Linked DNA regions of Macaca fascicularis. The protein of the gene in region 4 interacts with the protein of the main gene of each other region in a pairwise test. Links are inferred from orthologs where the notes say so. Each region holds a gene or a part of one and is shown on either strand. Other genes may lie near its edges.

The links.
Region 1: the proteins of CCND3 (region 4) and CRABP2 interact in binary tests that used the Homo sapiens proteins (3 or more experiments, as listed by UniProt). The link is inferred for Macaca fascicularis from reciprocal best matches to the Homo sapiens genes CCND3 and CRABP2.
Region 2: the proteins of CCND3 (region 4) and RBL2 interact in a two-hybrid assay, tested with the Homo sapiens proteins (2 studies listed by BioGRID). The link is inferred for Macaca fascicularis from reciprocal best matches to the Homo sapiens genes CCND3 and RBL2.
Region 3: the proteins of CCND3 (region 4) and EIF3K interact in a two-hybrid assay, tested with the Homo sapiens proteins (2 studies listed by BioGRID and IntAct). The link is inferred for Macaca fascicularis from reciprocal best matches to the Homo sapiens genes CCND3 and EIF3K.
Region 5: the proteins of CCND3 (region 4) and ATF5 interact in a two-hybrid assay, tested with the Homo sapiens proteins (2 studies listed by BioGRID and IntAct). The link is inferred for Macaca fascicularis from reciprocal best matches to the Homo sapiens genes CCND3 and ATF5.
Region 6: the proteins of CCND3 (region 4) and VDR interact in a two-hybrid assay, tested with the Homo sapiens proteins (2 studies listed by BioGRID and IntAct). The link is inferred for Macaca fascicularis from reciprocal best matches to the Homo sapiens genes CCND3 and VDR.
Region 7: the proteins of CCND3 (region 4) and TFIP11 interact in binary tests that used the Homo sapiens proteins (3 or more experiments, as listed by UniProt). The two-hybrid records come from large-scale screens. The link is inferred for Macaca fascicularis from reciprocal best matches to the Homo sapiens genes CCND3 and TFIP11.

The regions. Positions count from the first base shown.
Region 1 is NC_088375.1:104,370,189-104,374,253, reverse strand, and holds the start of CRABP2 (cellular retinoic acid-binding protein 2), read right to left. Parts: upstream 2,801-4,065; 5' UTR 2,664-2,800; coding exon 2,594-2,663; intron 1,969-2,593; exon of another isoform or gene 1,213-1,968; intron 1-1,212. UniProt on the Homo sapiens protein: Transports retinoic acid to the nucleus. Regulates the access of retinoic acid to the nuclear retinoic acid receptors.
Region 2 is NC_088394.1:49,468,637-49,472,136, forward strand, and holds part of RBL2 (retinoblastoma-like protein 2), read left to right. Parts: intron 1-755; coding exon 756-827; intron 828-1,485; coding exon 1,486-1,591; intron 1,592-2,158; coding exon 2,159-2,367; intron 2,368-3,233; coding exon 3,234-3,398; intron 3,399-3,500. UniProt on the Homo sapiens protein: Key regulator of entry into cell division. Directly involved in heterochromatin formation by maintaining overall chromatin structure and, in particular, that of constitutive heterochromatin by stabilizing histone methylation.
Region 3 is NC_088393.1:45,685,410-45,689,571, forward strand, and holds the start of EIF3K (eukaryotic translation initiation factor 3 subunit K), read left to right. Parts: upstream 1-1,362; 5' UTR 1,363-1,441; coding exon 1,442-1,500; intron 1,501-2,511; coding exon 2,512-2,610; intron 2,611-4,162. Other genes in the region: MAP4K1 (mitogen-activated protein kinase kinase kinase kinase 1), read right to left, coding at 1-56. UniProt on the Homo sapiens protein: Component of the eukaryotic translation initiation factor 3 (eIF-3) complex, which is required for several steps in the initiation of protein synthesis.
Region 4 is NC_088378.1:129,633,430-129,635,589, reverse strand, and holds the end of CCND3 (G1/S-specific cyclin-D3), read right to left. Parts: coding exon 2,095-2,160; intron 1,646-2,094; coding exon 1,478-1,645; coding exon of another isoform or gene 1,272-1,477; 3' UTR 501-1,271; downstream 1-500. UniProt on the Homo sapiens protein: Regulatory component of the cyclin D3-CDK4 (DC) complex that phosphorylates and inhibits members of the retinoblastoma (RB) protein family including RB1 and regulates the cell-cycle during G(1)/S transition.
Region 5 is NC_088393.1:57,911,892-57,915,864, reverse strand, and holds the start of ATF5 (cyclic AMP-dependent transcription factor ATF-5), read right to left. Parts: upstream 2,801-3,973; 5' UTR 2,604-2,800; exon of another isoform or gene 2,470-2,603; intron 2,184-2,469; exon of another isoform or gene 1,572-2,183; intron 1,276-1,571; 5' UTR 1,136-1,275; coding exon 958-1,135; intron 1-957.
Region 6 is NC_088385.1:54,587,022-54,589,628, reverse strand, and holds part of VDR (vitamin D3 receptor), read left to right. Parts: intron 1-1,191; coding exon 1,192-1,451; 3' UTR 1,452-2,607.
Region 7 is NC_088384.1:25,186,325-25,189,824, forward strand, and holds part of TFIP11 (tuftelin-interacting protein 11), read left to right. Parts: intron 1-1,547; coding exon 1,548-1,716; intron 1,717-2,126; coding exon 2,127-2,370; intron 2,371-3,314; coding exon 3,315-3,457; intron 3,458-3,500. UniProt on the Homo sapiens protein: Involved in pre-mRNA splicing, specifically in spliceosome disassembly during late-stage splicing events. Intron turnover seems to proceed through reactions in two lariat-intron associated complexes termed Intron Large (IL) and Intron Small (IS).

The DNA.
Region 1 (4,065 bases), on a different chromosome or scaffold from region 4:
GCCTGGGCAAAAAGAGCAAAACTCTGTCTCAAAAAAAAAAAAAAAAAAAAGCCAATCGGAATGGTATGTGTTTAGGACTCAGCACACACAGTGCCAGGCATATGCTTAAGTTTTCAGGAAACAGTAGCTATTATTGTTGGTATTATTTTTACTGATAAAAGGAAGGCAAAGGGTCAGGTGCCATGGCTCATGCCTGTAATCCCAGCACTTTGGGAGGCCAAGGCAGGAGGATTGCTTAAGCCTAGAAGTTTGAGACCAGACTGAGCAACATAGTGAGATCCCACCACTAAAAAAAAAAAAAAAAAAAAAAGGAAAACAAAAAGCTGGGGTTCAGACAAAGCTCCCTTCATTAGGCACCGTGCTCATCTGCCCTTCTGGAAGACTCCCATATCCCTGTCCCCTCAAGGGAACCCCCTCTGCCGTGAGAAGAAGGGGTAGAAAAGGAGCCTGCCCTCCCCGCTCTGTGTGATGTGTCCCCTACTTCAGGACCCCCCACTCCCCTCACAGGGTCTGGCTATCTCATTCAGCCTCTGTGAATTCAGACTCTCTGTGCACCTCCATATCCCAGCCCAGATTGGACCCCTTCTCTCTGCTCCCCAGTTATTAACCAAAGTGGGGGAGATAGGAGACAGCACCCCTCTGAAAGGAAGATGTGCAGAGCAGGGGGCCTCTCTGGATGGGCTCCAGGTCTAAGCTCCACACACCCACCTCACCTGGCCTGATCTGCCGCCCTGTCCTGGAGTACAGCCAGGGATGCACTAGGTGGGGGTGAAAGGGCCCTCCGCCAGGCAGCAGGATTTCCCTGCCCCTGATCCGGCCAACTCCCTGGCCCTCCTCCAGACCTGGGTTCCTAGAGAAACAAATCCTCTTTCCCCTCAGCGCCAAAGCATAGCTACCCTACTCCAAACAGAAGAGAGAGGGAGAGAGGAAGTCTTGTCCCTGGGGAGCCCAGGACCCCATGGTTGGCTGCTGAACTCTTGGGTCTAGGGAGAAATGACTGAGGTCCCCAAGTCTTATTGAGATGGACCCTTGACTAGAGCTAAGAGGGCTGTGCCAGGACCGAAGTTCCTGCAGAAGTAAGGCTGAGTTCAGAGGAGACATCCCTTCAGCAAGCCCCTGGTGCCTGTGGAGCTGGGGGCCCAGCTCAGCCGGCCTTGACTGGCTCAGGACTGTGTTTGTCTAATGGATCTGTTTTTAATCTCCCCCCTGCAGGGCCTGAGGAGGGCACGTGGCTCAGAGAGACCCTGCAGAGAGGACAAACAGACTGAAGACAGACAGCAGGATTGGGGCCTTGAATCTTACTCTTCAGCTGGGACCTGGGGGTGCGCCAGGCCACCACCTCATCCACTGGGGACAGGAGCCAGAATCCAGAGAAGATGAGGAGGGAGTGGCATGTAGGCTTTCCAAAGAGAAAACTTCTATCTTTTCGTCTTTAAGTTCAGCAAGGACAGAGCGAGAAAGACTGATATGACTCCAAGAAGTATTGTGGTTAGATCGCAGGAAGAACCAACAGCAAGGAATGATGGAGATTCCTGCTCTCTCTGCAACATTCCAGACCCTTCTTAGATCCAGTCTCACTCCTATAGTCCAGGGTGCCCTCCCTCCCTACCCCCTTGCCCAGCCCAGCCCAACTACCCTCTCTCTGTTCAGTGCAGGAATTGAAGGCAGCAGGCCTGTCCTTACGCTCCCAGTGACTGGGGTCCTTAACTATCGTCCATCTCTCCCCCAGAGCCCCAGATGTCTAGCCCAGTTGGCCCAGAGAGCACACAGAAAGTGGGCTGGGAAAGTGGGAAGGGCAGTCTGGATTGACTTTGTTTTCCCCACCTTTGACCAACACACCCAGTTGGGCTGCAGCTGATCTATGGTGTGTGGAGGGAGGTGGGAACCTAGATTTTTGGAAATGTGGGATTGGGGTTTCACACGAAACCATTTGTTGAAATCCAAGAAAGTGATAATTATCCCTAGCGATTTTAGAACTCTGGAGCTGCTCGTTGCAGTAAAATACTTGTCTCACAGATGGGGGGTAGGGAGAGTAGAGTGGAAAGTGCACACGGGAAGGAAAGGGGAGCTCAGGGGGCGCTGGGGCGGCAGATCACCTGGTAGGCAGAGCTGGGCGCCTAGGGGTAATGAGCCTGCTCCGGGGATTGGGTTACCGAGGGGGGCACCGGGAAGGAGATTGGAATGTGTCCGAGCGGCTGGGCAGGTTAGAGAACCGGGCTCCCAGTCTGGATGCAGGGTTCGTGGCTCCACCAGCCTGCAGCTTCTGAACTGCGGACAGCCAGGTCCCTCGGCTCACCGAGTCCGGCCGCTGAGGCCAGCCTCCCCTTCCCCCAGAGGCCAACCTCGCGCTTCTGGTTTCTACGTGATTCACAGGCTGTGAGTCACCGCAGTGCTGGCACCGGTGGGCCCCCGCAGGAGAAAGCGGGATTTAGGCGTCGTGCCCAGCGCCACGGGACCCGGACGCCTGGCACGTTTTTCAGTGATGCAGGCGCCCAGTGTCTCACGCCCTGTGGTCCCGCTTTCTTTTTCATCCCCACCTTCGAGGACTCCAGAGCCCCCCTTGCCCCACCTGGGCCCTCGAACATTTCCTTACCCAGCACTTTGAGCAAATCCTCGAAGTTTTCCGATCGGATGATTTTCCAATTGCCAGAGAAGTTGGGCATGGTGGCGGCGCGGGTGGTGGTCCCCTTAGACCCCTAGGCTGGAGCACTGGACACTGTCTTTTAGTCAAAAGAGACGTCGCCGTCGCCGAGTCGTGAGGTTCAGGAACCAAGATACGACCAGGGACAACCCCAAAGCTGGCCTGGGCTCCCGCGCGGACAGCTTTTATACCCTGTGCGGAACCTCCCCTGCCCAGGATTGAAGTGGCCCCGCCTTCCGCTCCGCCCCCTCCCCCACTTGGGGGGGCCCTGCCACCAACCTCTGGATCTAGCCGGTGTGTGGGTCCAGGCTTCTCTGGGGACCGAGATAGCCTTCTCCTGCTCTAGGGAGTGGATGGGGAAGCGGATGCAAAGCCTGCACTTGAATTGCGCTGTCCGCCTAGGCGCGGGGAGCCAGCTGCGGGCGCAGATGCTCAGGGCTCGTGTATGGCTGTCCCCCACCAGAGTTCCTCACGTCTCGCCTGTTCGCCACCCATCCCCAACCTGACTCGGTGCATTCAACTCCTTGGCGCTGGACACCTGGCGACCCCACCCGCGGGCGGATCCCAGATCTTGAGCCGTAGCTGACCGGGGGAAATGGGCAACTGAGCCCTGGCTCCACTGAAGCCTGAACTAGATCCAGTGGGACCACTTCGAACTCAGAGAGGGGCGGGGGAGCTCCGGGGTTCTGCGGGATTAGGGATCTAAGTGAGGCAACGGCGCCCCCTGCTGGAACAACTCGGAGAGGCTGGGCGGGGGTGGCACGGTCCCCCCACCCCTCTATCCTGCTTCGGGCTCACGTAGTGCCTGGGGACTCTGGAAGTAGTCGCCAGGCGACTCGCTCCCCTTAATGGGCTGGGCGGACACTGAAGGGTTAAGCAGGAGCCCAGGGCGCGAGGCTGGGAGGGCAGAGGTCACAGCCAATCACTTGACGCGAGGTCTTTATTAAAGCGCTTTCTCTGTCGCTTCACTCCCCAGACCCCGAGGGGGTCTCCGTAGGCGGAAGGGAGGGAGGCGGGGACAGAAGCGCGGAGCCCTGGCGAGCTGCGCCGCCACCAAGATAGAAGGGAGGATGGGTGCCCGGGGAGAAGGCGGAGCAGGGTCTCAGGTGTCACCATCCTGAGCTGTAAAACGGGCGGAAGGAGCTACCTCCCCTCCCTTGGCGAGCGGCTTTGAAACGGGAGATCAAAGAGGGTGGGAGGAGGGCAAGGCTTCCTGCAGAGACCCGAGTGGGAGTGGGCGAGACCCCAGTGGAGATGGCAGGGAGACGGAGAAACAGAAACTGAGGTCAGGCAGGGAGCCTCGGAGACAGGCCTGGGACCTGAGGCCGGAAACCGCAGAGGAGCGGAGCCTGGCGGGATGCAGTGATTGGAGCCAAAGGAACCGTCCCGGCGTGTCCAACGCGGGGGGCCCTTCGGACCGGTGG
Region 2 (3,500 bases), on a different chromosome or scaffold from region 4:
TCAGTATTTCTTTGAACATTTTTTTCTGCTTCTTTCTCTCCTCTCCTGATTCTCCCATTACACTTATGTTGATTTCCTTAATGCTGTGCCACATTTCTCTGAGGCTGTTTATTTTTCTTCATTCTTTCTCTGTTCTCAGATCACATCATCTCTTCATGTTTGCTAATCTTTTTGGTTTTTTTGCTACTTCAAATCTATTTTCCCTAGCTTCTAGTGAATTTTTCATTTCAGTTACTGTAATTTTCTACTCCAAGTCTTTTTTTTTGAGATGAGTCTTGCTCTGTTGCCCAGACTGTACAGTGGCTCAATCTCAGCTCACTGCAACCTCCGTCTCTCGGGTTCAAGTGATTCTCCTGTCTCAGCCTCCCTAGTAGCTGGGATTACAGGCACATGCCACCATGCCTGGCTAATTTTTGAATTTTTAGTAGATACTGGGTTTCACCATGATGGCCAGGCTGAACTCCTGACTTCAAGTGAGCCACCCTCCTCGGCCTCCCAAAGTGCTGGAATTACAGGTGTGAACCACCGCACTGGCCTCTAAGTCTTGATTCACATATTATTCTTAATGAATTTTAATAGATATTCTTGAATCGATGTATCTTCATTTGCTATATGCCTTTAATACCATTTCCAGAGACTTTAAATAGCTTTTATATAATTTTCACCCCTTTTACTGGGCAGCAGGTTCACACAGCTCCTCACACTATTATGGTGGAAGTTGTTGTATCTCTCAGAGCACTCTTATTGTTTGCCAGGTCACAAAAGAAGATAAGTCCTTCCAGAATATTATGCGTTGTTATAGGACTCAGCCACAGGCCCGGAGCCAGGTAACTACATTTTCTCTATGGGCTGAAAATAACGCTTAAAGTCTGTGATGAATACAAGAAATTAACCATAGTTGACTCTGTGGCCTTTTTTTCCAAGATAAACACCTGGGACTCTACTTAAGGGAAATTTCTGCTTTAATCTTCTTTATTCTTGATGTCACATGTTGATTAAGTTCTCTTTTCCTCAGAAGGCAACAATGTTAAATATTTGATTGCCTTCTCAATTCAGAAAAATCACAAGATAGATAGGAATTAAGAAGTTACTTGGTTTCTATGTCACCATTCTGGTTTAGTAAACATACTGTACGTTTAACCAAGAGAATGTCACATGGAAATTTAAAACCCACTTTGCCTTTATTACGATTCGTCTCTGAGAGGCAAATTGGCAGATCTGTGTATCTGACTTAGAATGACTTGACTTTATGGTTGGGTGCTGTTACCGCAGCGTGGTACTGCAAGTAGTACTTGGCATGTGAAGCTAGATGGGCTCTGATTGAATCTTAGATCTGTTATAATTTGAGTTATGTTTCTTAGCCTCTTCTGAGGACAACTATTGCTACACAGATTATTGTGAAAAGTAACATATGTCAAGGTCCTATCACCAAGGGTGTGCTCAACAAATACTAGTTTACATCCCCTTCTCATTATTTCTCTAAAGGTGTATAGAAGTGTTTTGATAAAAGGGAAAAGAAAAAGACGAAATTCCGGCAGCAGTGATAGCAGAAGCCATCAGAATTCTCCAACAGAACTAAACAAAGATAGAAGTAAGTGGGATCTTTGTGAACTACAAGACAAAATTAGGAGCTTTTCTTACTTTTTAGGACTTGAAGTAACCATTACTAAATGAAATAACTATAGAAACTATGAAAGTGTATAAACAAAGGGTTTAATGGATCAGTAAATCAAATTCTGGGTGGCAAAACTGTCCATTCCATAGCTTTGGGGCACATATTCTATAACATTTTTCTCCAGGAGAATTAGAGCTTTCAGTGAGGAATCTGCTTGCCTGAGTTTCAGAAAGGACTGACATGTCAGTTGGAGCCATGCTATGGAAATACCATCCCCTACCTGTTGGTTTGTCCTAGGGCTTAGGTCCTAGAAAACTTGGTGTAGCTTATTAATACTACTCAGAAAGCCCTTGCTATGGTTATGGCATAGGGATATCAAGTTAAAATCCTAGCTGAGCTTTGCCTTTTGGTGTGAAGAACAGAGTGCCTATTCACTGTTATTAGCAAGTAATGCAGGTAGCTGTTCCCTTTCTCCTACTTTTTAAAAATTAAAACAATCTATACTAGCAGCTTTTGTATTGACACCCTGTGTTCTCCTGGAAGCAGCCAGTAGAGACTCCAGTCCAGTCATGAGGTCAAGCAGCACCTTGCCAGTTCCACAGCCCAGCAGTGCTCCTCCTACACCTACTCGCCTCACAGGTGCCAACAGTGACATGGAAGAAGAAGAGAGGGGAGACCTCATTCAGTTCTACAACAACATCTACATCAAACAGATTAAGACATTTGCCATGAAGTACTCCCAGGCAAATGTAGTAAGTATTACAGGGATCATTTCATGCTTTTTTCATGAGTATTGAGGAATTATTTATGATTTATATATGGACCATTCACCTGGTCCATATATAAACTAGTTTTGGCCAAGCGTGGTGGCTAACACCTGTAATCCCAGCACTTTGGGAGGCTGAAGCGGGCAGATCAGTTGAGGTCAGAAGTTCGAGACCAGCCTGGCCAACGTGGTAAATAAAACCCAGTCTCTACTAAAAATACAAAAATGAGCCAGGCGTGGTAGAACACATGTGTAATCCCAGCTACTCTGGGGGCTAAGGCAGGAGAATTGTTTGAACATGGGAGGTAGAGGTTGCAGTGAGCTGAGATTGCGCCACTGCACTCCAGCCTGGGCGACAGAACGAGACTCTGTCTCATAAATAAGCTAGTTTTACAAATAATTCTATTAAGTAAAACTGAGGAGGTCTGTAATTTACCTAACCAACATAAGTTCTGTTGTTAAGCATTAAACAAGAATAAGATTGTATTTGGAGTCCCTACAAAGTATAGTAGTACAAGAGACAGGCTACATGGGTTCAAATTGTCTAGTACTTAACAGTAGTGGTAACCTTGCAAATCATTAAATTTTCTCTGTACCTTGTTTCCTCATATATATAAAACATGGGAATATAACTAGTTCTTAGCATATGGAGTTGTAAGGATGAAATGACATAATGTATAAAAATTGCTTAAAATAATAACTGGCACAAACTAAGCACTTAAGGTTTGCTATTAGAATGTTTTTCTTTAGGTTAAATTAGTGCTAATATATCACTCTTATCATTCTCAGTAAAAATACCTCATTATAAATTTCTTTTCTTAGAGTTACTGATTTTTTTTTTTTTTTTAACAGATGGATGCTCCTCCACTCTCTCCCTATCCATTTGTAAGAACAGGCTCCCCTCGCCGAATACAGTTGTCTCAAAATCATCCTGTCTACATTTCCCCACATAAAAATGAAACAATGCTTTCTCCTCGAGAAAAGATTTTCTATTACTTCAGCAACAGTCCTTCAAAGGTGAGCCTAACATCAATCTTGGCCTTTACTAACCCCAAAATGCTTCAGATGCTAGAAAGAGGGTTTGTGCTAAGCCTAGGCACTCATTAGAGTGATGAGAGC
Region 3 (4,162 bases), on a different chromosome or scaffold from region 4:
AGGTCGTAGTGGTCCCGGGGGTCTCTATTGAAAATGTCCGGATCCACGAGGTCCATCCCTGGGGGCCGGAGCTGGGCCTGCGCCCAGGGGCCAGCAGGGCCTCAGGGCTCAAGTTCTGGCACCTCCCTCTGTCCCCAGAAGCCCTGCACCCGCCTTGCCTCCGCGGGCTGTGGCCTCCCTCCTCCCCACTCTCGCTTCCTGCCCCAGCTGCACTGCAGGGCTGTGCAAAGGGCTCCACCCCCTGTCCCCTGGGCGCTGAGAGCCTCTGAGGGGCAGCTTGTCTTGGGACCCAAGGGACCATCCTCAACCTCCAAGGCCCAGGGCTGGATGTAAATGTGATGCAAATTATCTTAATGGTAACTGGATTGGAGGGGGGTGCCTTAGAACCCCCGCCCCCGTCTCCTAGGTAGTGTCTAAACCTCTACTGGGTGCTTGAAGGTTTGGCCACAACCCGAAGGCGGCAAGTCTGCACAAGGATGACTACGCAGTGTACATGCCTGTTCACCTGTCACATACATGCACTTGGGTTACCTCCTCTGCACTGCGCGGGCATGTAGACGTGTAGATGTGCATCTACCTAGATACCTGTGTGCACAGTACACACGTGGAGGTACCCAGCGCATATACCTCCACATACATGGCACATAACTGCATTTTCTACGCTTGCAGTGTACAAAACCTATACATGATATATAATTGATGGCAGTACAGATGGGACCCTCGCCCTCAGCTCCAAGACCGGAACCTAATGGAGACCGGGCGCGATCCGGCGAAGTCCAGGAGCCCTCACCCCAGCCCCTGCCCGGCAGAGCACAATAGCTTTGTGGGACCCTCTTCCTGGAGCTGGGGATCAAGGGCCGAGACTTGAAACTGGATCCTGGGCGCTCAGGATCCTGCACCATGCGCCCAGGCCTGAGGCGAGAGGGACCTCAGAGAACATCTCCCTCGGGACTTGGCCAATGCCTAAACGGAGGGCTGCTGCGTGCATTCCCGCACAGCTCCGGGGACTTAGGGCCACGCGCAATACAACGCGCGCGCACGCCGCCAGAGCTCCGACTGCTTCCCAATGAGTTCGCGCGCGCACGCTCCCGCGCCCCCGGCACTGGAACTGGGTCTGTGAGGCCCGGGAAAAGCTTAGCCCCGCCCCTCGCCGAGAGGCGCCTGCGCACTGGGATACAGTAAGCTTTTTCTCACGCTGTCCGTCCAGCTTGAGTGGAGCGAATGCGCACGCGCTAATTGCCCCTGCGAGGAAGAAGTCACGTGGCCGCCGGAAAGCGTGGCGGCTGCTGCGAGAGCCTGTCCCTTCACCGCCCCCAGGGAGCTGGAGCGACAACAATGACGTCGTTTCCGTTTCCACCACCTCTTCCTTTTCCCGTCCTCGCGGACGCCGTGCCGGGCCGGTGTTAGTCTCCAGCCCTGGTTGTGGAAAGCGACAGAAGTCATGGCGATGTTTGAACAGATGAGAGCTAACGTGGGCAAGTTGCTCAAGGGTATCGACAGGTCTGAGCCCGGTCGGAGGGAGCGCTCTGGCCATGCGGGGCGGAGGGGAGGGTTTTCAGGAGGCAGCAGGGGGTGGTCAGGGTCCTGGGCTTGCCGCGGGGTGGGGTTTCTCTATCCTCCTGGAGGAGGAGATGCTTAAAGAAACGCCACTGAGCTGGGGGCGGTGACTCACGCCTGTGATCTCAGCACTTTGGGAGGCCGAGGCAGGCGGGTCGCCTGAGCCCAGGAGTTAGAGACCAGCCTGGGCAACAGTCATACCCCGTCTTTAAAAGAAAGAAAGAAAGAAACAGCCCTGCAAAGGCCTAGAAGCGAAAGAATCTTGGTACCGCTCAGTCTCTTCGTGAATTGCCTTAAGATTTCCTTCTCTGCCCTGCCTCCTTTGAGTGCCTCTGAATCTCTCCCTTCTCTGCTCCTTACGTCATTCATTCACATGTTTATTGAAATAAAGTGTCAGTGCTAGGCAATGCTGGGAACCACAGGCGAATCAGACAGCGGCAGATCATGCCTTCACGGTCTGAGTTCCCATTCCATGAGGGAGACAAACCTGACATCAGACAGTGATATCTGGGAGAGGTTAGAACCGAAATGGGGGAAGCAAAGGCTAGAGTGTTCAGACGGACATGGGGGAAGTAGGCATCCAGGTAGGCAGGAGAGGATGGGGCTGGATCAGGGTGGAGGCCTGAGCAGGGGAGGAAGGGGTGAGTAACAGAGATGTTCAGGAGGCCAGATGCACAAGCCGCAGTGACTGACTGGCTCAGAGGTTGGGGAGGTATCCTAGGCAAGACCCAGGGCTCCAATGGAGTATAGAGCTTAGGTGAGAGGTCTGGGATATGAATAAGTTTTATTAGAGATTATACTGGACATAATTCACTACCTGGATAGAGCAAGTGGCCAGTGCCAGATTTAGAGGGGAAGGGTGGGAGGAGCAGGTTACAGTTGCCCCTGCAACTGTAAAGTGACTGGCCTCAGCTTCTGTCTCCTGTCTGCTCACCTATCTTGATTCTCCTTTAGGTACAATCCTGAGAACCTGGCCACCCTGGAGCGCTATGTGGAGACGCAGGCCAAGGAAAATGCCTATGATCTGGAAGCCAACCTGGCTGTCCTGAAGCTGTAAGTGTCTGGCTGTCTGTCTACACTCCCATTTCAGCAGCTAGCAGGGTGCCACTCCCAGTACAGGGCAAGGGGGTGGCCGGTGGTATCCTGCATGATGCAGCATCTCTTGGTGTGCAAGACTAGGAAGCCAAGGAAGTTGGGACAGGAGGAGGGATGGTTTTTGAAAAATCAGTTGCCGAGCGCAGTCACTCACACCTGTAATCCCAGCACTTTGGGAGGATGAGGTGAGTGGATCACCTGAGGCAGGGAGTTTGAGACCAGCCTGGCCAACATAGAGAAACCCCAACTCTGCTGAAAAATACAAAATTAGCCGGGCGTGATGGCACATGCGTGTAATCCCAGCTACTTGGGGGGCTGAGGCAGGAGAATCGCTTGAACCTGGGATGCAGAGATTGCGGTGAGCCAGGGTCGCACCATTGCACTCCAGCCTGGGCAACAAGAGCAAAACTCCATCTCAAAAAAAAATTAATAATAAAAAATCAATTAGGGTGGCTGCAGGGGCTCATGCCGCTAATCCCAGCACTTTGGGAGGCTGAGGCGAGATACTCACTTGAACCAAAGAGTTCGAGACCAGCCATGGCAACATAGCAAGACCCAACTCTATAAAAAAATTTAAAAATTGGCCGGGCATGGTGGCTTACACCTGTACTTTGGGAGGCTGAGGTAAATGAATCACGAGGCCAGGAGATCAAGACCATCCTGGCTAACACGGTGAAACCCCATCTCTATGAAAAAAAAAATACAAAAGATTAGCCGGGTGTGGTGGCGGGGCGCCTGTAGTCCCAGCTACTTGGGATGCTGAGGCGGGAGAATGGCATGAACCCAGAAGGGTTGCAGTGAGCCTAGATCACACCCCTGCATTCCAGCCTGAGCTACACAGCAAGACCCGTCTCAAAAAAAAACCATTGTTTTAGTTAATGTAGTGGTGTGTGGCTGTAGTTCCAGCTACTTGAGAGGCTGAAGTGGGAGGATTGCTTAAGCCTGGGGGATCGAGGGTGCAGTGAGCCATGATCGTGCCACTGCACTCCAGCCTGGGGGACAGAGTGAGACCCTTCGTTTTCTCAAAAAAAAAATAAATAAATAAAATAAATAAGAATTACCGATCTGGCCGGGCGCAGTGGCTCAAGCCTGTAATCCCAGCACTTTGGGAGGCCGAGACGGGCAGATCACGAGGTCGGGAGATCGAGACCATCCTGGCTAACACGGTGAAACCCCGTCTCTACTAAAAAAATACAAAAAACTAGCCAGGCGAGGTGGCGGGCGCCTGTAGTCCCAGCTACTCGGGAGGCTGAGGCAGGAGAATGGCGTGAACCCGGGAGGCGGAGCTTGCAGTGAGCTGAGATCCGGCCACTGCACTCCAGCCTGGGCGACAGAGCGAGACTCTGTCTCAAAAAAAAAAAAAAAAAAAAAAGACCGATCTGGGTGACATGGCACAGCCCTGTCTCTACAAAAAATCAGCTGGGCACAGTGGCACACAGCTGTAGTCCCAGCTACTCGGGAGGTTGAGGCAGGAGAATTGCTTGAACCTGGGAGGCAGAGGTTGCAGTGA
Region 4 (2,160 bases):
CTGAACCAAGCCTAACTAGTACACAAAACTCACACTTGAACATGTACCAGCTACCTCACTTAGCTGCCCACCTGTGTTGAGCAACCCTTCCAACATCCACTTCCAAAAGCAAAGTGCATGTCTTCAAGATAAAAGGCCGTATTTATTGTAATATTTATGTATTTCTCAACCATTTGACATGTAAAAACCAAGCTATCCTTTTTTTAACATGTGTCACTCATTTGAGTGTTGTGCTTCAAGCCCCATTTTTCCCATGAGACCTGTGGTTTTTATTGTGCAAATTGCATGGCATAGTGATTTTCAGGAACACATAGGTCACATTATAAAGAGAACTGATTATATTTGGGTCAGAGACCATATAGCCCGCAAAGCCTAACTATCCAGCCCTTTACAGAAAAGGCTCAATGATCCCTGCTTTAGACCACTGGCTTCCGCCTCCTTACCTCATACAGTCCAGAAATAGACTTAACCCACACACCAATCCAAGAAGCCAAAGCCAGTTTTATTTCACAATCTTTATTACAGTAGGATGATGGTCCTGGGCCACCAGCCTAAACCTTGTGGCCTTAGGAAAGACCTGTGTCAACAGGGCTTCCTCCCTCTCTAGACAGGGGCTCAGCCACCTCCAGGGCATCCCTGTTGCATTTTCTCTGCTGGAGGATGGGGCAGAGGGACAACAGGAGAGGAGGGCATGACCCCACCCCAGGCTGTAGCAGCTCCTCGGCCACAATGATCCTTTTGCCAGTAGCAGAAGGGAGGAAAATAGCAACCACCAGGGTTACCACCACTTGTGGGATGGCCAGGACCCCGTTATGTCCTCTTACAGTTGTGCTCAAAGCAATTAATAAATTAAAATGAGCCTTCAGCAGCAAAGCTGTCAATCACACAGAAGCTGAGCAGAAAACAAAGCAAAGAGGAATTTATAGCTTCTCTGGCTGAGGCCTAGGCCCCTCCCTCTAGGAGCAGCTGTCAGCACGGATTATATAGGGGCCTCCAAAGTACTGAGGAGTCATCTAGACTATTCCCCCTCATATGTGTCTATCATGCATGAAATTTCAGAGGGACCCCAATCCAAATGCAATAACCCTAGAAGGGGCAACACCTTTAGAAGGCACTAGAGCATTTTGGCAGTTGAAAACAGCCCCCAGGGGTGGGGGGCGCTCAAAAGGAATGCTGGCGTTATGTATCCAATTCTGTCCCATCAGCCTGCCCCACCCCCAGCTAGAGTTGGGAAAGGCGCTGCTGGTCAGATGCAGGGAGGAGGAGCTTGACTACCCACCGAAATGCAGACGTGGCTGGCCAGGCCCCTTAGTGCACACTGCGGGGATGGGTAGGACCAGACCCCTTGGGCTTTGTGAAGGGGGAACAGACGCCCCTTCAGGCTTCAGATGTGGTGTGGTTTGTTCCTGGAGGCAGGGAGGTGGGTGGCAGCGGCCCCTCCTCTGCTTAGTGGCCACTCCAGAGGGCCTCTCCAGGGCTACAGGTGTATGGCTGTGACATCTGTAGGAGTGCTGGTCTGGCTGGGCCCTTGGCTGCTGGAGCCCCGGGGGGCTTTGGGCGCTGGGCTGGAGCTGGTCTGGGCGGCTTCCCTGAGGCTCTCCCTGAGTGCAGCTTCGATCTGCTCCTGACAGGCCCGCAGGCAGTCCTGGGAACATGGGAGAACAGTGAGGACTGAACACTCCCCCCCATAGCATCTGGCAGCAGGTGCAGGGGAAGGACAGCTCCCAACACATGGGGAAGTCTGGGGAGGTTAGGCCACAGCCCAGCCCCAGGAATCGCTCTTCAGTTCTCAGAAACTAGCAAGAGGATGTGGCAAGGGAGTGTGAGAGCAGCCCTGCATCTGACACCGAATCCCCCACCCCCACTCCAGCACACCACTTGGCAAGAAAAGAGCCCCTAGGGCCAGTGCCCTTCACCCCACCCAAGATACTTGCTCTTCTCCAGACCAAGGCAGGAGATAAAAAGCCACAAAGCCCCAAGGTTGTGAAACCAGGACTCAGGACCAGGTTGGGGTTGGAGGTTTCCCTCTACTGGAGGCTCAGGGCATAGCACTATATGAATGGAGAGGCTGCTGCCCAGCTGCCCAGCACTCACCACTTCAGTGCCAGTGATCCCTGCCAGCAGCTCTGTAAGCTCATCCCCGGACATGGAGCAGGCACC
Region 5 (3,973 bases), on a different chromosome or scaffold from region 4:
CCAACCAGTGACTCAACCAACAGTCAATTAAGCATTTCTTCAACCATTCCAACATCTCCTTTACTGAGTACTCTGTATCTGTGGTGTCTGTATTTACTCTGTTCTTAAAAGGCAAACTAGATCACATTACACACAGATACACCTTGTTTCATCTTTACTCATTAATTACTGAAAACCCACGATGTGCCAAGCATTTGGGATACAGTAATGAATACAATGATTCCTGCCTCCTGAGGGCTTCTGCGTATGCAGTTCCCTCCAACTAAAATGCTCTTCCCTTGGGTGTTTTCCTGGCTCATTCCTTTCCTTTTTTTTTTTTTTTTTTTTTGTAAGGGATAAGATTTCACTCTGTTGCCCAGGCTGCAGTGCAGTGGCATCATCTTGGCTCACTGCAGCCTAGGCCTCCCAGGCTCAAGCGATCCTCCCACCTCAGACTCCTAAGTAGCTGGGAGTACAGGCATGCGCCACCATGCCTGGCTAATTTTTTTTTTTTTTTTCCCTATAGATATGAGGCCTTGCTATGTTGCCCAGGTCCTGAACTCCTGGACTAAAGCAATTCTCCCTCCTCAGCCTCCCACAGTGCTGGGATTACAGGCCACCATGCCTGGCTTCCTTCCCATCCTTTATGCCTCCGTCAACATGTTACCTACTTAGAGAAAGTTTTCTGGCTACCCACTCTGAATTAGGTCCCCTTTGTCATTTTGTAGCTCAGCTGCTAAGTGTTTCTGACTTATTCCAATACACTCTCATTTAATTTGCCTCTGGTCTACTCTCCACAGTATGAGCTGCTGGAGGGCACAGACCATGTTCTTCTTGTTTCCAGCTGTATCCTCAGCACCTAAAACAGTGCCTGGCACATTGTAGGCACTCAACATTCAATGAATACATGGATGAGTTTTTCCTCCCCCATCTTCCCCTGCCCTCCACTCCCCTGCTCCACCTTCCACCTGCCCTTACCTGCCAGGGGCTCTCCCCCCACTGGAAGCCCGCCCTCCAGGGCTCCCCCAAGGACCTCATAAGGAGCCACGGGGGCAGGGGCAGGGGGGAGTTTCCCATAGTCTACGAGCCATCCCAGCCCGCTAGCTGGGAGCAGGGTCCTGTCCAGCTCCAGCCCCAGGGTGGCCAGGAGTGACATGGCTGTAGCACAGGTGCAGGGCGCTGTAGCACAGGTGCAGGGCACTGATGGCAACAGGAGCCGCTGCACCAGCAGCTGGGACGAGGCTCTGGAGGATGCTCAGCTGGATGAAGACAGGCACCAAGGCGAAAGTGGAAGACCTACACGTGTGAGACAAGAGTGGGTGGGGTCGTGGGGTCAGGAAAGCCTCATCCACCGGCCAAAATCATGGGGAAGCCAAGCCACACCCCCAGGCACGTCCACGGGGCTCCTCCCTCCCCCTTCCAACCACAGTTTATAACTAAGCCTCAGCCTCTCCGAATTCTAAATTTGCCCTTTCTTTACCCAAATCTGAGCCCCACCCACTCCCAAGGGAATTTCTTTAGGTCCTAAGGTAGGACCGATGCCCCACCCTTTCCCCCAATACGGAAACCTAAGGGTCTCCCAGGGGAATTACCTTAGGCCCTTCCCATCCACCTCAGAATATTCCGCATCATGGAAAAACTCAATTCCAGGGACATTTTCTTCCAGCCACGCCCCTTGCCCTAAAATATTTCCTTTTGGCCCCACTGCCTTCCTAGCTTCCATCCCAAACCAGTGCCCAGGGGAACTGCCCCAGGCCCCAGCCCTTCAGCAATGTTATCCACTCAAATCCCACTCCTCGCTTTGCCACTGCCCCTCCAAGCCCCGCCCCTCATTGTTTATTTAGCTCCGCCCCTCTCCGATTCCCCAGAGGCCCCGCCTCTTTGTCCCATCGAAGCCCCACCCCTCAGCTAAAGGTTGGCTTAGCCCCGCCCCTTCTCACAATGGGCTCACGAAATCCCACCCATCGTGACGACAGTGGTTCTAGCCCCACCCACTTAGAGGGCTGCCTCTAAGCCCCGCCTTCTCCCCTGTCAATCTAAGCCAGTCCCCGCCTCAGCAGGTGCCTGGTTTAAAAGGAAGGAAGTTGGGCTGTGAGCCAGAGCAACGTGGAGCAGGGAGGGTGGAGGAGGGTAGAGGGGGCAGGCAGAGAACTGCTACCCGAACGCCAGCCGTCCACACGCGGCTATGCGCCAAGGGCCAAAGCGCATGCTACGTCTTCCGAGCTGTCCAATTGCTTTACACCTCCGCCTTCTTGGGGATCAGTGCGCATGCGCGGACACTCAGGGCCCGCGCTCATTAATTACGGGGCACTGGTAGGCTACTGCGCAGGAACAACCAAGCACGCACAGAATCGTTTAGAAAAAGACCACACCCTCCCTTGGAGTGCGCAGGCGCAGCCACACGCCGGCTGACAAACATCGAGTCTCTAGAACTCTCCCACCCGGCTCCGGGCCCAGTGCGCATGCGCAGCCGCGCGCCTTCGGCCCACCGTACCTCTTCTGCGCCTGCGCGACCGTGATTCCCCGCTCGCAGCTCCCCTCCCCCCAGGGCTCCCTAAAGAGGGCCACGAGCTGCGAAAGGGCGGGAAAGGCGGTTGGAGAGGGAGAAGTAAGCGGTTACTCACTCCATGGCTGCAGCAAGGAGAGGCGGCGGCGGCCTCGGCTGAAGAAAGAAGGTGGGAGCGGAGAGCGCAGGCGTGGTAAGCGCGGAGTCGGGCTGGGGGCACAAAGGGGTCGAGGCTACAGAGCCATGGCCGGGGCTACGCAGGCGGAGGCGGAGAACGCTGTAGTTAGAAGAGACCGTGATCTGAGGACGGGGAATGAGGCGGCCCCGGGGACTGGGGACAGATATACTTCGGGTGGCGCAGCATGGCCCGCCCGGATCCTTCCGCGCCCCGCCCTCGCGGGGCCCCAACTGGGTGGCAGCCCGGTCCCCTCCTCCTGGGGATCAGGGGATCCGACCTCTTCCTTCCCACTCCTAGGGTCCAGGCCCCTCCTCCCTTTTGAGCCAGGGATCCGGCCCTCTCGTAGCTCCGGGGTCTGGTTTCCTCCTAAACTCTGGTTTCTTTCTTTTTCTGCCTGTGAGGTCTGGGCCTGCTTCCTCCTGTGATTTGGTGGATCCAGTCTCATTCTCTTCCCGGAGACCTGCACCATTTAATTTCTGTTTCCCTTTCCCTGCTTGCAGAATTTCCTGTCAGCCACACTTTTCATGTTTTCATCCCCCAACTGCTGACCCCGAGAAACCCTCGTGGGTTAGAGTCCAGCGTGAGTCACAGCACTCTCCCAAACACAGACCTACCAGGATGGCCTCGGGCAAATAGCTTAAGTTCTCTTGCTTCATTTCCCTATAAGTAAAATAAGAAAAATCAGCTCTCCTGGTGGGTTTATGAAACTCAAGACGGTGTCTGGCAAGCCTTATGCACAGAGTTCAACTCATACGTTCCTGTTCAATTTTTTTTTTTTTTTTGGTGAGATGACGTCTCTCGGTCTCTGTCGCCCAGGCTGGAGTGCAGTGGCGCGATCTCGGCTCACTGCAAACTCCGCCGAGTTCACGCCATTCTCCTGCCTCAGCCTCCAGAGTAGCTAGGATTACAGGCGCCCGCCACCACGCCCGGCTAATTTTTTGTATTTTTAGTAGAGACGAGGTTTCACCTTGTTAGCCAGGATGGTCTCGATCTCCTGACTTCATGATCGGCCCGCCTCGGCCTCCCAAAGTGCTGGGCTTACAGGCGTGAGCCACCGCGCCCGGCCTCAACATATTTTATTGGGGCCCAGCCTCACTTCTTCTTTCCCCCTTACAAGAGCCGCAGACGTTGGACTGTCTAACTCTTGCTGTCGTTCTTCTGTCTCCCTCATTCCTCTGAAGTGTCTGTTTCCGGCCATCCTCATCTTCCGTTCCAAATGATGGGTGCCCAGGCCCCATCCCCTGGCAGGGATTCAGACATCGAGGCCCCAGCTGCGTCCTTTTCTCCATCCCTTGCCCTTGGCTTCCTTT
Region 6 (2,607 bases), on a different chromosome or scaffold from region 4:
AGCCCCAGTGGTGTGTGGATGCTGAGGTGCCCCTCACCGCCCTTGGCTCTGCCTTACAGAGTTTGCAGGCGATTCGTAGGGGGTATTCTGAGAAACTAGATAAGCAGGGTTCCTCGAGCCACAGACGGCCCTGCGCGTTCCCAATACTCAGGCTCCGCTCTTGTGTGAACTGGGCTCAACATTCCTGTTATTTGAGGTTTCTCGTGGGCAGGGTACAAAACCCTGGAGCCTGAGAGATAGTTCTGCCTATACAGTTTACCTGATTGATTTTGGAGGCAGTGTGCTGTGACCCTTGACCTCTTCTGCTGGTTAGAGGTGAGAAGAGGGGGAAAAGGCAGAAGAGGAAGTTATTGTAACCTTGGGGACATGATGTTGGTGATGAGGTCCAAAGAGGGATGGCCCTGCCTCAGCCAGTGCTGTGTTCAGGGGACAAGCTAGTGGCCTCTGCCCAGGGATGCTTTCCTGGACTGGAGGCTCAAGGAATGGAGGTGGGCTCCCCTACACCTGCCCAGCCAGCCTTCACTCATTCATTCATCCACTTAGCAACAATTTACTGAGCACCTATTGGGTGCCAGGCACTATGCTAGGTACTGGGGTTCAACAGCAAACAGGACACAGGCTCCTTTCCCATGAAGCTTAGATGGAAACATTAAACAAATGCTATTTAACAACTAATTCCTAACATGGCAAGAGTTTTAAAAATAAAGTAAGTGACACTAGAGAATGGTAGAAGGAGGTAGGCTGACATGGTCTGGGTCACGGAGGTAGAGTGTTGCCAGGAGTCTTTTGGAGGAAGACCTTTTAAGCTGTTACCCAAAGGATCAGTAAGAGTCTGGCAAAGATAGCAGAACAGAGTTCCAAGCAGTGGGAACACAGATGTGAAGGCTGGTGACCAGAGAGCACGGCGCATCAGAACGCTGAGGGATGGACGGAGCATGGACAGAGAGCAAGGCCAGGCAGAGACAGGCCCAGGTGGGCCCATGGAAGGACCTGGGACTGGATCCTAAATACAAGGAGAAGTCACTGGAGGGCTTTGGGGCCATGCAGTGGTATCACCAGTCAGCAGTCATAGAGGGGTGGCCTAGGGGGTGCTGCCATTGAGTGTCTGTGTGGGTGGGAGGTGGGGGGATTGAGCAGTGAGGGGCCCAGCTCAGAGCTCCTGTGCCTTCTCCTCTACCACCCTGTCCACAGATCGTCCCGGGGTGCAGGACGCCGCGCTGATCGAGGCCATCCAGGACCGCCTGTCCAACACTTTGCAGACCTACATCCGTTGCCGCCACCCGCCCCCGGGCAGCCACCTGCTCTATGCCAAGATGATCCAGAAGCTGGCCGACTTGCGCAGCCTCAATGAGGAGCACTCCAAGCAGTACCGCTGCCTCTCCTTCCAGCCTGAATGCAGCATGAAGCTCACGCCCCTCGTGCTCGAAGTGTTTGGCAATGAGATCTCCTGACTAGGACAGCCCAAGGCGGTGCCTGGGTGGGGCTGCTCCTCCAGGGCCACGTGCCGGGCCCGGGGCTGGCAGCTACTCAGCAGCCCTCCTCACCCTGTCTGGGGTTCAGCCTCTCCTCTGCCACCTCCCCTGTCCACCCAGCCCATTCTCTCTCCTGTTCAACCTAACCCCTCTCCTGCAGGCCTTTCCCCGGTCCCTTGAGACCTCAGCCATGAGGAGTTGCTGTTTGTTTGACAAAGAAACTCAAGTGGGGGCAGAGGGCAGAGGCTGGAGGCAGGGCCTTGCCCAGAGACGCCCCCACTACTGCATAAGTGGCTGCTGACTGGTGTTGAGGGAACAGGCAGGGGAAATGCATCCATTCCTCAGGGACAGAGACACCTGCACTTCCCCCTACTGCAGGCCCCCCATGTCCCGAGCCTAGTGGGGTCTCCCTCTCCTGCTTACTCATGATAATCGGCCCACAGCTCCCAACCCACCCGCTTCAGTGCCCACCGACATTCCATTGCCCTGGTTATATTCTCACGGGCAGTAGCTGTGGTGAGGTGGGTTTTCTTCCCATCACTGGAGCACCAGGCACGAACCCACCTGCTGAGAGACCCAAGGAGGAAAACAGACAAAAACAGCCTCACAGAAGAATAGTGGATGGTGGCCATAGCTATCCCTGTCACCAAGCCCACAGTTTCTCACCCTGGATCTAAGGGGTTGGTTGAGGTGGAAGCCCTCCTTTCACGGATCCATGTAGCAGGACTGAATTGTCCCCAATTTGCAGAATAGCACCTGCCGTCCTCGTCCTCCCCCTGCCAGTGCCTTACCACCTGCCCAGGAGAGCCAGCCCTCCCTGTCCTCCTCGGATCACCGAGGGTAACCCAGAGCCTGCTCCCCCCACCCCCTCCCCACTTCCAGTCTGAAGCAGCAGTGAGCCGCGTCTTCTCCACCTGGCAGGGTGGGATGGAGGAGAAGAACTTTCAGACCCCAGCGGCTGCGTCATGATCTCCCTGCCGCCTCGGTGTGGTTCCAAGGTCGCTGTTCACCCACGGGGCTAAGAGCTAGCGCTCCCGCACCCCAGGGTGTGGGAAGGGAGAGCGGGGCAGCCTCGGGTGGCTAGTCAGAGAGAGCGTTTGGGGGTTCCATGATGTAGAGTAGCGTCCCTTCTATT
Region 7 (3,500 bases), on a different chromosome or scaffold from region 4:
CCCGAGTAGCTGGGATCACAGGCACGCACCACCACACCCAGCTAATGTTTGTATTTTTAGTAGAGACAGGGTTTCACCATGTTGGCCAGGATGATCTCCATCCCCTGATCTCGTGATCCACCCGCCTTGGCCTCCCAAAGTGCTGGGATTACAGGCGTGAGCCACCGTGCCTGGCTTAATTTGTAGTCTTTTATCCCGCACCCCGTTCACCCTTTCCCCAAGTCCCCAAAGTCCATTGTGTCATTCTTACGCCTTTGCATCCTCATAGCTTAGCTTCCGCTTATGAGTGAAAACACAAGATGTTTGGTTTTCCATTCTTGAGTTACTTCACTTAGAATAGTAGTCTCCAATTCCAACCAGGTTGCTGCGAATGCCATTAATTCATTCCTTTTTATGGCTGAGTCATATTCCATTATATATATATGTACCAGTTTCTTTATCTACTTGTTGATTGGTGGGCATTTGGGTTGGTTCCACATTTTTGCAGTTGTGAATTGTGCTACTGTAAACTTGTGTGAGCAAATATCTTTTTCATAAAATGACTTCTTTTGTGTTTTTTTTTTTGAGATGAAGTCTCGCTTTGTCGCCAGGCTGGAGTACAGTGGCGTGATCTTGGCTCACTGCAACCTCTGCCTCCGGGGTTCAAGCAATTCTCCTGCCTCAGCCTCCCAAGTAGCTGGGACTACGGGCATGCACCACCACGCCCAGCTAACTTTTGTATTTTTAGTAGACACAGGGTTTCACCATGATGGCCAGGATAGTCTCAATCTCTTGACCTCATGATCCGCCTGCCTTGGCCTCCCAAAGTGCTGGGTTTACAGGCGTGAGCCACCGCACCCAGCCATGACTTCTTTTCTTCTGGGTAGATACCCAGTAGTGGGATTGCTGGATCAAATGGTGGTTGTACTTTTAGTTTTCTAAGGAATCTCCACACTGTTTTCCATAGTGGTTGTACAATTACATTTGGCCATGAATTCAGCTGACACTTGTCAAATGTCTGTTGAATATCATGCTTGTGCTAGGTGCTGGGCTTACCCTAGTACAGCAGACAGCCTCTGTCTTTAGTACAGCAGAAAAGGCAGATGGGAAATAAGGTAGTGAACAAATAAAGGCAGGATGCACACCAGGTACAGCGATAGAAAACTGCAGGAGCGACCTCCTTGGAATGGGGGTTAGGACAGAGGTCTTAGAGGAGGTGACATTGAAACTGTGATCAGAGGGTGAGAGATGTCAGCTCATGAATAGAAGCCTATAGGTGGGAAAGCACTTGATACCTAGGAAGAGACCCTTGTGACCCTAAAGCAGCTCTGCCAGGTGGGCGGGCACTGCCTACGAGACCAAGGCCTCAGTTCGAGAGGAGAGTCACGAGAACAAGGAAGAAGCAGGCTCAGGTCTGGCCAGCATGGTGACTGGCCTGATGGTTTCCTCTGATCGGATTTCCATGCTGTTGCATTTTTATTTCTGATTCTAGAGAGGTGGGCGGTGGTGGTGTTCTTTGAAACCAATCAGTGTAATTAACCAGCCTGTCCTCTGCCTTTCTCCCATAGGTTGATATGGGAAGTCTGGATGCCTTTTGTTCGAAATATTGTCACTCAGTGGCAGCCAAGGAACTGTGACCCGATGGTGGACTTTTTGGATAGTTGGGTGCACATCATTCCTGTGTGGATCTTAGATAACATACTGGACCAACTCATCTTCCCCAAGCTGCAAAAGGAGGTGGGGTGAGAGTCACAGGAACAACTGTCATCACTAACTACAGGGACTTGTTCAGTCTATGTCTTCATTATCTCAGTGCTGTTAAAATGCCTGGAATTAACAGAATTTGTCAACACAACTGTTGACCTAGAGTGTTAATTCCAGCCTTTTTCTCAGCACTTTTCCCCCCAAGCCACCCTCAGGAGGGAATTCATTTTCTTGATTTCTTCACTAAAATTAGAATTATGCTATTTCTGAGAGGTAATCAAATGAATGGGCATATTTGTTTGGCGATGTACAAAGGACCATGGGCCTTGGAGAGCATGGGGCCTCCTCCAGGGGCAGCTCTTGCCTTTAACCACACGGGTGTTATGTGACTGCCCAATAGGCGACATGAACTGTTTCTTCTGTTTCTTCTCCCCACATTGCAGGTGGAAAACTGGAACCCGCTCACAGACACTGTTCCCATCCACTCTTGGATCCACCCATGGTTGCCCCTTATGCAGGCACGGCTGGAGCCGCTCTATTCCCCCATCCGTAGCAAGCTGTCCAGTGCCCTGCAGAAGTGGCACCCCAGTGACTCCTCTGCCAAGCTTATCCTCCAGCCCTGGAAGGATGTCTTCACTCCTGGCTCCTGGGAAGCATTCATGGTCAAAAACATAGTGCCCAAGCTGGGTAAGGATATGGGGAAAATGCAGTCCAAGCCCAGCAGCTTTGGTGCCCTGGTTTCTTGGTCAGTGGTGATTTAAAGCATAGCCTTTGTATTCATGAAAGTGCTTAGTACACAATATTCCTTGCTGTTCAGAGGCTGAACATAAATGTAACTTGGGTCCTTTCCGCTGTTTGTTTACAACAGCGACTAATAGTTGACAGTAACAACATCGGACTCTGTGCCTTGTGGTTTTCCTGATTGGCTTTGGCTTCTGGTAACAGGACAGCCATTGGAGTTCTGAAATTTTTGTGGTATTTTATTCTAAATTATTAGGGAGTTATTTCTGGTTTAGCAAAAAAAAAAAACATATATATATATATATATATATTTTTTTTTAAGAATTGCTATGTCAGGAGCTTAAATTTGACCTTTAAAGCAGATTAAAGCCTGAGCAACATGGTTAAACCCCATCTCTACCAAAAATACAAAAACTAGCCAGGTGTGGTGGCATGTGCCTGTGGTCCCAGCTACTAGGGAGGATGGCTTGAACCTGGGAGGCAGAGGTTGCAGTGAGCTGAGATCTGCCATTGCACTCCAGCCTGGGCAACGGTGAGACCCTGTCTCAAAAAAAAAAAAAAAAAAAAACCGCCAGGAGCCGTGACTCATGCCTGTAATCCCAGCACTTTGGGAGGCTGAGGTGGCAGATCACCTGAGATCAGGAGTTTGAGACCAGCCTGGGCAACATGGCAAAACCCTGTCTCTAATAAAAACACAAAAATTAGCCGGCCGCGGTGGTGCACACCTGTACTCCCAGCTACTTAGGAGGCTGAGGCACAAGAGTCACTTGAACCCAGGAGGTGGAGGTTGTTGTGACCTGAGAGGAAAACGGACATTATCTTTGCTCTTTGTGCTTCTGTGGCTTTGCCAGTACTAAAGCTGTGCCTTATAGACCGGGTTTCTCTTCCAGGGATGTGTCTTGGTGAGCTAGTCATTAACCCCCACCAGCAGCACATGGATGCATTCTATTGGGTGATCGACTGGGAAGGGATGATCTCTGTCTCTAGTCTGGTGGGACTTCTTGAAAAGCACTTCTTCCCCAAGTGGCTTCAGGTACACTGTTTTGCTTGGCTTTCTGGGGGAGGGAACTGGGTGG